Linked DNA regions of Bombyx mori. The protein of the gene in region 1 interacts with the protein of each later gene in a biochemical or structural test. Links are inferred from orthologs where the notes say so. Each region holds a gene or a part of one and is shown on either strand. Other genes may lie near its edges.

Region 1 (6,097 bases):
CCTCGATTGTCTAGTGAATAGTTGGTGTGCCGAATTGCTGATATCGGGTACGGGGTTCGAATTTTAGGCGTGCTTTGTACATACCAACGAGTTTTCGACGAAATATTATGTTCCTATAGTATCTACCTGTACTGAATACCGAGTGTTTTAAACATTAAGAAAAACATTGCGAGGAAGCTTGTAAGACTGTCCTATTTCCAATACATCATATAGTTGAAATTATAGACGTATAAAATATAACAATTATAGGTAGGTAATGAAAATAAAAAAAACTGATTGTAGTTACATACTACTAGTAACATATATTGGAGCACTTTAATACAATTTTATTGTAAAATATAAATAATATTCTTTTATAGTTTGAAATTGATGATTAACTCTTCACACTCATTGTTCATTCATGTGATTGAACGAGAACTGAAGGCATCACTATTACTTTAAATATAGCAACATTATTTCACAAAGTGACATTAGCTACTGTCAGCTGGCTTCGTCTAATTAAAAATACGACTATAGACAAAAATTAAACCAATATTCATGAATTAACAAAAGTATTGAAATGAATGTATTAATGTACCCCCTGTGTGTAATGAGTGTGAGCATGAGTGAGCGTAAGAGGGTGTGTGTGGGTGTAATAAAAAATATTAAAAGTTATTTAATAAAATTTCAGCATCCTTATAGTTACAATTTTACAACCAATTAAAGTTAGAAGTTTTGCATTTGTTGCTTGCTGCTTAGAGGATATATAATATTAGGGTGGTTATTAATTTTATCGTAGAGTGGGACTTCTGTATCTAATTTAAACGTAAAAATAAGTACCCACACTAATTAATACACTACAAAAGGAATATCTGAGATCATACTTTTAGGGTATATAATAATATTATAAATTTTTGTTATTATAAATTATTATTATCAATTATTATTATAAATTATTATTATATTTATACTTTCAGAAGCAGCATCACAGGTGTTAAAGCAAGGTGAATCGAGTGAAACAGAACCAAAGACAGATGACACGGCAGTACCGAAGGCAGATCAGGTAGGTACAGAAGGCTTGATTGTAGGCGTGTGAGATATAACTGGCAGACTTCTGTTTTTTTTATTGCTTAGATTAGTGGACGAGCTTACAGCTCACCTTGTGTTAAGTGGTTGCTGGAGCCCATAGATATCTACAACGTAAATGCGCCATCCACCTTGAGATATAAGTTCTAAGATCTCAGTATAGTTAGAACAGCTGCCCCACCCTTCGAACTGAAACGCATTACTGCTTCACGGCAGAAATAGACGGGGTGGTGGTACCTACCCGTGTGGACTCACAAAACGTCCTACCACCAGTAAACCAATTGTGTGAGGGTGGTCGTGGTCATCATTCACCATCATTGCTGTGGGCAGATGTTTTGTGCCTCAAGAGCAATCGCCATTTCTCCCGGCTTATGGTGAGCCTGGTACACTCATGTAAACAACCGCCAACTCAACAGTTGACTTGACTTGATTGGTCCATCGCAGACAGTATGTGTAATAACAATAAAATATATCTCTTATGATAATTGAATAACATACTAAATAGTATGTGTATGAGAAGAGTTTTGTGTCTACAGCAGTGTAGAACAACTTAGAGAATACTGTAATTTTTGTCGTATTGTGGAAATATTATTATTATTATAATAATATTATATTATCATTCATAATCATCATAGTATCTCTTCTTTTTAGGTCTCGGCAGCCATTTCGCAGACATTACAGAATTTGAACTCCAACTCTGAGAATCTTCAGACGCCTTTCTCAGAACAAGATCTAGCGAACATGTTTAATAATTTCAATTTAGGTGAAGGGGGCCAGGTAATTATTTATTAAAATGTTTATGTATGTTCCATGGCGTACCGTAGATTTTCCCGTTTAGTTGTAAAAGCAAACAAATATCAAAGAATATAGAAATTATAAATTACAATTGTCAGAATGGGTGATGTTCTCAATTTTGTAAATATAATCATTATTTCCGATCTGTGTCTATGTGTGTTTCTGTCCTTTTTTGTAGACTTAATTTTTTTATTAATTATTCAAAGAAATTATATCTGCATAAATAAAAAATACATTATAGATAATCATAAGTCGGTAATAATAATAAATTGGTAGACAGCGGCTTGGCTCTACCCCTCACATTGCTGAAGTTCATGGGCGACGGTAACCACTCGATGCTCGTCTGCATACAAGGCCAATAAAAAAAAATTATTAGAAAAGTCAATAGAGAATAGACAACACACTCAATGCATGGGTTATAAGTGATGCTAAGATAATAATAATATAATATAAATATAAATATTTACTAACAATCACGCCACATTACCTGGTCCCGTACTAAGTTCGTGAAGAACTTGTATTACAGGTACCAGATAACGGAAATAAATGTAAGATTTTTATTATACACATACATATATTTAATAAACATCCATAACCCTGGAAAAGACATTTCTATATTTATCATACAAATATCTTCCCTTTTTTTTTTTTTTTTTTTTATTGCCCTTGTAGGCAGACGAGCATACGGCCCACCTGATGGTGAGTGGTTACCGTCGCCCATGGACTTCAGCAATGCCAGGGGCAGAGCCAAGCCGCTGCCTACCGCTTAATACTCTCCACAAGCCTCGTTTGAAGAAGGACATGTCATAGCGCTCGGGAAACACCGTGGAGGGGAGCTCATTCCATAGCCGGATGGTACGTGGCAAAAAAGACCTCTGGAAACGCACTGTGGATGACCGCAGTGGCTCCAGGTAGTATGGATGAACTCTACTCCGGTGGCGGGCGGTGCGATGGTAAAAACGAGATGCCGGTATCATCTCGAACAATTCCTCAGAGCACTCCCCATGGAACATACGGTACAAAATACAGAGGGAACCGAAGTCCCTCCGCAGACCCAGAGGTTCCAAACGATCCGTGAGACCGGGATTATCGACAATCCGAACGGCCCTTCTCTGTATGGAGTCAAATGGAAGAAGCTGGTATTTGGGAGCCCCGGCCCAGAGATGGGAGCAGTACTCCACGCGAGGCCGGACTTGTGCTTTATAAAGCAAAAGCCTTTGTCCAGGCGTGAAGTACCGCTTCGCTCTGTTGAGGACTCCCAGCATTTTGGACGCCAACTTGGCTTTGCCTTCCAAATGACTCCGAAACTGGACATCGCTCGAAATGTCGACCCCAAGTATCCCAATACTCTCGGAAGGTTGCAGGGATACTCCTTGGAATTGCGGCGCCATGACAAAGGGGTCCTTCTTCGCAGTGAACGCGCAAACTTGTGTCTTTAACGGGTTGAATTGAACCAAGTTCAATTCACCCCATTTGGAGACTCGCCCCAGAGAGTTCTCCACTTCAGACACAAGTTTTGATCGTCTCTCTTGCACCACGCTCCGAGAGAGACTCTGATGGCCGATATATCGCGCATCCCCCGTGCTGTCATCCGCATAGCAATGCATGCCATCAATAGACAGCATGTCATTGATATACAGGATGAAAAGCGTGGGGGAGAGCACCGAACCTTGTGGAACGCCAGCGTTAATGGTCATGGTATCAGAACAGTCACCGTCTACAACGACCGTGATGCTCCGCCCATCCAAAAAGCTAGCGATCCACTTGCAGAGACCCTCGGGGATTCCGTAAGATGGTAGCTTCGACAGAAGTGCCCTATGCCAGACCCTGTCGAATTCCTTCGCGATATCAAGGCTCACAGCAAGAGCCTCGCCCTTGCTCTCCAAGGCTTCAGCCCACCTGTGAGTAAGGTATACAAGAAGATCGCCAGCTGAGCGACCGTGACGGAAACCGTACTGTCGGTCACTGATCAGCTGGCGATCCTCCAGATACTTCAGGAGTTGTATATTAATTATTCGCTCCATCACCTTGGAAAGCAAGGAAGTTATCGCGATAGGCCTATAGCTCGATGGGTCCGACCGGTCACCCTTCTTGGGGATAGGGTGGACGTGGGCAGTCTTCCATGAAGACGGAACCCTGTTAGCGCAATAAGAGATGCGATACAAACGCGTTAGCGCAGGCGTCAGCTCAGGGGCGCACGTTTTCAGAACCACTGCAGGGATGCCGTCTGGCCCGCTCGACTTATGGACGTCCAGGAGTCGGAGTTCCCGCCTGACTGCACACTGTGTAAAGCAGATCTCCGGCAGGGAACTATCACACCGGAGGATGTTCCTCCCTTGGCGGGATTTGAACCCGCGACCCCCTAGTGTAGTGACCATGTCACTTACCACTACACCAGACGGCCGTTCAAGATGTAACGTATTGGTATTTTTCAGGAAGGAAACATGTTCCTGCCCTTCATGCAGGGGATGATGCAGTCGCTCTTGTCGAAAGAAGTTTTATACCCATCTTTGAAGGAGCTAGTCGACAAATATCCAAGTTGGTTGAACGAGAACAAGACAAAGATTGAACAAAGCGAATACGAAAGGTGAATATTTTATGTTTTTGCTGTATCAAAGCGAGCTTAGCTTTGAGGAGGCACCTGGTAATGAGTGCTTTAAATCAAGCCACCAACCTGAAACTGCAGATCAGGACGGTACAAAGCTGCAGAGGACTTCATTGTAGGAGTGAGATATATAACTAGCAGACTTCTTTGTTGTATCACTCTTGTCAGAGCGGTCATGGTCGTTATTCGGATCCTTACTGTCCGCCTTGAGACTTGAGGTCGAATTGTCAATTGTATTGTACAGGCGGTTTTCCTTCAAATCAAAACCCACAGTCATCATGATATTGCAACAGAAATAAATAGCACTACTGGTCTTCACAAACCCACAATAGTACCAGAAAATGTCGGTGCTTGATTCCAGTGCGTTGGTATAATACTTGGAGAATGCTGCTGCTTATTCTGCAGTAAATTCCTTAGTCACCTTGGTCGACATCCATGGAAAGAAATGAAGTACACCTTAGGCTCATCATACTAGGCACTGGAAAGAATTACAAATCTGACGACTAAAAAAACAACTGTTTCCCAGATTCGAAAAACAGCAAACGTTAATGCAGCAAGTATGTGCTGAACTCGAGAACGAATTGGATAGTGACAGTGAAGAAGTTAAGAGAAAACGCTTCGAGAAAGTGTTGGAGTTGATGCAGAAGGTATGTTTGATTATTAATGTCTAAACCAGGGGTGGGCAAAAGCCGGCCCGCGGGCCGGATCCGGCCCTTTTGCTAATTTTATCCGGCCCGTTGAAAAATTCCGCACATAAATTTTTTTAAACTCTTTTATGAGATTTTGTTGACATCAGCATTAAAAAAGCATATGCGGTAAAAAAGCATATGCGGTATAGTCCTCCGGCCCGGGAGACATTTTGAAAATTTCATTTTGGCCCGCGCTTTAAAGTATTTGCCCACCCCTGGTCTAAACGATGGTCTGTTAGGATAGAAACTTCTGAACCTATGAAGCGTATCTGCGTATGATTGGCTCCAGTGAGGATTTCCTGTGGTAGGAATGAATGAGAACTAAAGAACACTAAATATCCTCATCAATGATACACTTATAATAGTGGTAAGACGTCTTGTGAGTCCGCACGGGTAGGTACCACCTATTTCTGCCGTGAAACAGTAATGTGTTTCGGTTTGAAGGGCGAGGCAGTCGTACTGTTAAAAGTGAGCCTTTACAACTCATGTCTCAAGTTAGGTGGCGGAGTTTACGTTGTAGATGTTTATGGGCTCCGGTAACCGCTTAACATCAGGGGGGCCGTGAGCTCGATCAACCATATTCTACAGTAGATCTAGTAGATCTTGAGGCACTCTTCTTATAGTCATTTGGATGACCATTAAATGCTTAGCAAGGTTATAGGGATGGGCTTTCAATCTTATACAGTAGTAAGCTTTAGCTCTATGGATTACTTCATTTTTTACTTTTCTTATGGCAAGATTCTGGCTTAAATAGGTGTTCTATTCTTAATTTCTGCACGCAATGTAACACAATGAACAATCAGCTGATGCTTAGGATCAACATGGCAATAACAATGTGTGGTGTCACTTACTTCCTAAACTGTGTACTGCTGCATGAGCGTGTACTATTCTACCTATACTTGCCATTGCTTATACTAAATCTCTTAGCGGCAGCAGCTTGGCT
Region 2 (6,775 bases), on another chromosome or scaffold:
CGCCCTCAAGATATGAGAGTAAGCCCAGTATTTTAAGCCAATGTATTTTTTTTCTTTTACGCAACACTCATAATCATTAGCGTCACTTTTCGTTGGTGATTGTAATGCAACAGATTTGTTTCTCTGAAGAGCTAACGAGCTAAACAAAAGCCACATCTGTAGCTAAGCCTTTTGAAGTTAAGTCTAATAAAAGATGCACATTCAAGAATGTAGTACAAACGAACACAGAAGCTAACATATATTGGAAGACTGTTTGAATAGTACATTGTTTTGGATTTATATTAATAATTGTATTACAATGCATCAACAATAAATTATATAACTTTTTTGGTATCCTTCATTCATCACTTTACCGAGTATTATGTTTGAAGATTTCAGGTTCAAATTATACAAAATATAATATTATTTGCTTTATATATTTGAGTTACAACGGCGAATTAAACATTAGTCATCTGAAACAATGTCTTAGATTCTTTACTACAAAAGTATGTTAAGACTGTTAAGCCAATACTTTTGCTTTAATGTGATAGCAACACTGAAAGAGAACTCACACATTCTTCATATTTTAATACTAAATAAAATAGTGTATTTTTTGTTTAATAAGGTCCATTTTTGCAGAAATCTATTTTATACTTTTTTTCTTTTTATTCTTAAATGGGCTATGTAGTGAGAATTTTCTTCTTATTAGACAGGCATTGGTGTAGAAAATAATAATTTGGATTGTTAAAATTAAAATTTCATTATTTTATTCATTATATTAACTAAGATTTCCAAGATTGCTTTAATTTATTTTATTACACAATCTTACTGTTGCTATGAATATTACAAGATCTAATTGCTTCACTGACAATATAAGATTTAGTTCTTCTGTATCACAGAATTTAATCTATAACATTAAGCACTGAACTGTTTCTCAATCTATTATTTATTTTTTCAAATTAATTGTAGTTTGAATGTTGAAAGGAGTTAATCTGACAATCTTCCGAAAAATATTGATAATTTTAATCAACGTCAAAGTTCTTTTTGTTTAATTAAAACAAAATACAATTTCATCATTCAATTCATTCAATGAACTTGAAGATTATGAGTACATATTACTATAACATTATATAGGGACTCACTAAAACCAATCGACACCATTTAGCCTATTTTAATTTATTTAGTGGTGAACGAAGTATTGACGCCGATTGGCTTCATTGCATTATCTTTCAGTTATCCCGTCGAATACAATACTTCAATTATATCAGTAAAAACACTATGTTTGTATGCAAAAGTAATATTTGTAAGAACATTCCGAGAGATCTACTTAGAGAAAACATTCTATGAGGTTTGTAAACAACACCACTAGCTGAAACATCGATACGAGAAAAGTTGGTAATCTGCCGAACACAAATCGTATTTTAACGTCTAGAAAATAACTTAATACAGCACAGACACACTTACCGATTAATATAACAATTATTTCTTCGTTTAATAACTTATTTTAATACTGAATGTTTACAATAATTTTGAAAACAAGAGTTTTTCACACAAATTATTGACACTTATCATTAGGCATAGAGCATTTTTATTATAGTAGTAGTAGTTTCATTTTTTCAACTAGAATGACAAAGACATCAAACCATACAGCCTAACCTTTTGTATATTCAATTTTATTAAAAATGATATGACGCGAAATGAATTGAAGGTGATTAATTGAAAAAGATGAAGACACAAATAGGGATGAAATATAAACTGGGTTAAATAGTGGATATTTTCTGAAAATTTTTCAGTGGACTTTTTCAAAAACCTTGAGAAGCTACGTCTAGCGACTTTGTTTCATTTTCTTCTCCTTTCCGTTCACGATATTACGACTTTCACGATATTTAATAGTTATTAAACCACCGTTATTATACATTTAACTCCGAAGAAACACAAAATTAACAAAAAAGAACTATTTGAATTTATGTAAGGTATACACAATTATTTTCTTTCAATTATCTTTCAATTGATCAAGCAAACGAAATGTAGTCAATACGATATTGTTTGTAACAAAAGCCTAATAGTCCAGTCATTTTAGGCCGAATTGGGTGAATACCTCGGAAAATCGACATACCCAGTATATTAACACGTAAAAATTTGTATTTCGGCTTCTTTTTCTTTATTGCTTAGATGGGTGGACGAGCTCACAGCCCACCTGGTGTTAAGTGGTTACTGGAGTCTATAGACATCTACAACGTAAATGCGCCACCCACCTCGAGATATAAGTTCTGAGGACTCAAGTATAGTTAGAACGGCTGCCCCACCCTTCAAACCGAAACGCATTACTGCTTCACGGCAGAAATAGGCAGGGTGGTGGTACCCAACTCCGCGGACTCACAAGAGGTACTACCACCAGTAATTACGCAAATTATAATTTTGCGGGTTTGATTTTTATACACGATGTTATTCCTTCACCGTGGAAGTCAATCGTGAACATTTGCTAAGTACGTATTTCATTAGAAAAATTGGTACCCGCCTGAGATTCGAACACCGGTGCATCGCTCAACGCGGATGCACCGGAGGTCTTATCCTTTAGGCTACGACGACTACATCATCAACGGCATTCTAAAACTAATTTCAAAATTCACATAATTGGATGGTCGCAACTTTTACAGCCAAGGGTCAAAGGTCACAGAAATTGATATTATTTTTTACATAAATTTCGTTTTCTATGGATTTTACCCTATTTATATTTATTATCATTATTGTAGAGAATTAAATATCAACAACTTTTCTATTTAAAGTTTTTTTATACCTTGAACTATTTTTGAAATAAAGGGCATAGAGCTCACGGTCTGAGAATTATATCTGAGATCAACTTGTAGATGGTAGCCCCGATCAAAAACTCGTAATACTAAGGTTAAAATTTATTGCTAAATATATAAATATTTTTTTTATTTACTTTTACTTTAGTTTTAGTCAATGGGGAATTTAGCAGCTCCTACACTAAGAAGCTATTTCTGTCTGTTCTTAAGATTGAAGGGTTTGAAAACGTTAAATTTTGGCAAAAAATGAACATGATCATTTCCTTAATACATTTTCTTTTTTTGGCGAAAACAATTGAAAATTTTAAAATCATTCATCGTAAATTGGTTCCCGTCAAAAATGTCAACTGTCACATTAAATCTAATTTCAACACAACTTTATGCAAAATAGAAGAAATTATATCCAAAATAAATACGTACCTATGTACAATCTGTTTTGTGATAAATATCTAACGAGATAACACTATTGTCACATGTAGTTTATCAGCAAATAAGAATTTAAACAAGAAGCTTACCGCGCAGTAATCTTTGAATTTCGTGTCTAAAAACCGAGAATGAGCGAACCAAGCCATATTCAAAATAAAATGGACTTCGGCTTGGTTAACGCAGGCGCACTAGGTAACATCGGGGAGGCTTCCAATGTTTCCAATTTCCGGAATCCTATAGCATCGACTTCGACCGAAGCGTACGGGCACAGTTTACCCCCTCTGCCTCCGCGACCCGAGATGGGGTATCCAACTGTTTCTCAAGGAATGACGCAGCCGTACGGGGGTATGCAGTATGGGATGGGAAATTATGGTGGTTTCGGATATGGAGGATACGGCGGCGGTTATGGAATGGGAGGAATGGGTGCCATGGGCCTGAATGGTATGGCCCCTTATGGTGCGTACAACCGTTACGGATCTCCACTGGGCTATGGAGACATTGAGAGCAGGTTAGATATTAAAATACTTTTATTATTAGAGCACAACAAAGGAAATTCTCTATAAAGTAAAATTTATTGCTGCACCAAGAAATATAAATAAGAAAATGTCAAATACAAAGCATAAAATGTTTAAATGGAAGTAAATTATGTCTACATACTACAAGAATAGATTCCATTCATAGAGGAAATGATTTGACAATCTATTTTTTTCTTTGTTTTGCCTCTTCACCTCAACCTACATACAATTACATACAATTTTTTAAACTTATTAAACATTTTGATTTGATTTATTGATTCATATTCAACAGATATATTTTACCATGGATACTGGAAACGTACACAAAAGATTAGAATAAATACAGCTAAATTCCAAAACAATGGCAAACAAAATCAAATTAAATACTGTCTGAGTAACAATCAAAACTGAATCAATTGTACAATAGTCAGCATCACTTGACTAAAGAGGGAATGTGTGTTGCTTGATTTCCAAAAATGATATGAAGCTCCTGTATGTATTTACAGATTTATTCAATTGGCAGAGGAGAATTCAAGGCCAGCTTTTGACTCAATACAGAGCTTAGTCAGTGCTGTAGGCAGTATAGCTATGATGCTGGAGAACACCTTCTTTGCTTTGACTAGCTCATTTCGTGCTATATTAGGTAAGTACAGCAACACAATTGCTTGTAAATCGAATTCAGGTGTATTTATAATGCAACAACTGGTGTCACAAAAAAATATCATATCCATACACTGTTACAACTAATTTTTGAAAGTATAATCTTAAAGTTTACCTAAATCACAGTGTTTTGAATAATAATGTGGTTTTTCTTGTTGTATATATGATTATTTGGTAGTGGACTATATAATATAATCTGTTTTAAAAGTAAGTTAGTGTTGATATGGATTTTCTTTCATAACTACATAATTGATTTGTTTCCTTATTGATATTTGGTTGGGGTCATTGTGCCTCCCTTGTGTGTATCCTTTGAGTTATCAATCGAAAACAATCATTTTTGACAGGTGTCGCTGAAAACTTTGGTAGGTTGAGAACAGTATTTGCCCAGTTCTGGTCAACATTTGCAGTAATACGAACACTGAATTGGATTTTCAAGAAACTCCTTGTAATGCTTGGCATTAGATCTGAAACTGAATTTAAGGTAAGGTAATTAATTTAAAATTAAAAGCCCATCTCAATGTTTGTCATATCTGTATTATAAAAAAAATACAAAAATTTACATCTTATATTCTCAATGTCCACGTGATGGAACTACATAGCTAAGTCTGCAAAAAGTATATACTTTCGAAAATATCCTGTACTTTGAAAAACTTTGTACATTTAAAAAATCTACAACCTCTGAGTACCTTGAATTTTAATTTATAACAATATAACCAGAAAATATCAAAGATTTAATTGATAGGTTAGTGTTTTAAACATATTATTTCACTGAATTTATTCTTTTTGAGTTTAGTAAATTGTTATTCTACACTCAAAATTCTGCATGTTAGGACTGAGCTTTTTTTTTTATTGCTCTTGTAGGCAGACAAGTATACAGCCCAATAAAGACTACCAGTCTCATATTATGTATTAGTACATAAAATCAAGAGCCTGTGAACAGACTTATCTTTGTTATAGCAGATACATCCCCCATAGTCTGGGTCTTTGTAAACTTGTTGTACAATGATATATAGTAATAGTTTCAGATTCAGTATTCAGATGCTAAAATATCTTTGAGCCGTATTCCATCCAAATTCGTTCAGGTATTTTTGCATGATTAACATACATTTATACTCATATTTATAAGATTTGTATAGAAGTATGGATATCAAAAACTAGCAGGCAAAGCTAATAAAAAAAAATTAAAAGAGAACACCATCTTTTACAAAGTAATATACCTAACAATATCAATATATGTGTATAGTGGAATTAATTAAATATGCATTATTAAGGATAACTCAAGAACCATTGTTCATATCTTCATAAAATTTAAATGGGATCACATTCCCACGTGAATCAGTTTTAGCAAAGAATAATTAGATGTTCACCTGAAAAAAGGTTCTGAGATAATAAAAAAACACAGTCGATTTGAGAATCTAATCATTTTTGAAGTCTGTAAAAAATAAACTACGTTATTAATTGAAAACTTATAATACAAATTGTTACCGCAACCCGCGGCCGGCATTATGGATAGATTATTAAAAAAAAAAAACATATATTATTGAATTACAATATACAATGTTTTTAATCTTATCCGGTAACGCTAATAGAAAAACATTGCGATAATATTCTTATCAATTAAGAGAGAGAAGGAATCCTTGGGTCCACATGATGAAACATTATCGAGATTATTTATCGGAAACTACATTTTATTCGTTTCTAACAGATAACTCGACGAAATAAATTAATTATCTCTAAGTTTACGACAGCGTGACAATATGTAGAAAAAAAATTATGATAATAATATAATATAGTCATAAAAGCAGGCGAACAGTATTTTTTTTTGACAACGCTACTTTCGAAAAATACTCTTTTTATTCTATAGCCCTTGTTGGCAGACGAACTGATAGTGAGTGGTTACCGTCTCTCATGGACGTTAGGAATGCCAGAGGCAGAGCATAGCTCAATTCGGAAACGACTTGTATTTAAGAAGAAGTAAAAAGTGAAACTTCTCTGCCATAATTCAATTATTGCCATACAGGGATAAAAGAATATTGTTACATAATTTTATATATAAATTTTCAAGCATAATGTTTATAATGGAAGTAAACTATGTGTTACGCACGCAACTACATACGTCACAACTTAAAAATGTCATCTGTTTATCCAAACACGTGAAAAGAAGTCTTATCTTGAATTTTCTGTAATAATGTGTTCTCTTTTTTCGTACCTACGCTGATAGCCTTGAGAGGCTATTTCAGCTTCGCCCTAACGTGTAGGTGAGCTCACGGGGCTCAAACTGGAGTGTTGCTAACACTGGCCCTAGCAAGTGCAGTGCTTCGCAGAATCTACCACCGGATCGCAAATGCGACCCACCGAGTAATGTGTGGTTTGTGTTCTTTGTAGGCG

What was found. The genes of interacting proteins can lie anywhere in the genome.
Region 2: the proteins of peroxisomal biogenesis factor 19 (region 1) and peroxisomal membrane protein PEX13 form a complex in vitro, tested with the Homo sapiens proteins (2 studies listed by BioGRID and IntAct, with this or other methods). The link is inferred for Bombyx mori from reciprocal best matches to the Homo sapiens genes PEX19 and PEX13.

The regions. Positions count from the first base shown.
Region 1 is NC_085129.1:20,656,355-20,662,451, forward strand, and holds part of peroxisomal biogenesis factor 19, read left to right. Parts: intron 1-956; coding exon 957-1,042; intron 1,043-1,716; coding exon 1,717-1,842; intron 1,843-4,295; coding exon 4,296-4,447; intron 4,448-4,991; coding exon 4,992-5,112; intron 5,113-6,097. UniProt on the Homo sapiens protein: Necessary for early peroxisomal biogenesis. Acts both as a cytosolic chaperone and as an import receptor for peroxisomal membrane proteins (PMPs).
Region 2 is NC_085126.1:5,627,809-5,634,583, forward strand, and holds the start of peroxisomal membrane protein PEX13, read left to right. Parts: upstream 1-3,126; 5' UTR 3,127-3,340; coding exon 3,341-3,720; intron 3,721-4,233; coding exon 4,234-4,370; intron 4,371-4,731; coding exon 4,732-4,868; intron 4,869-6,772; coding exon 6,773-6,775. UniProt on the Homo sapiens protein: Component of the PEX13-PEX14 docking complex, a translocon channel that specifically mediates the import of peroxisomal cargo proteins bound to PEX5 receptor.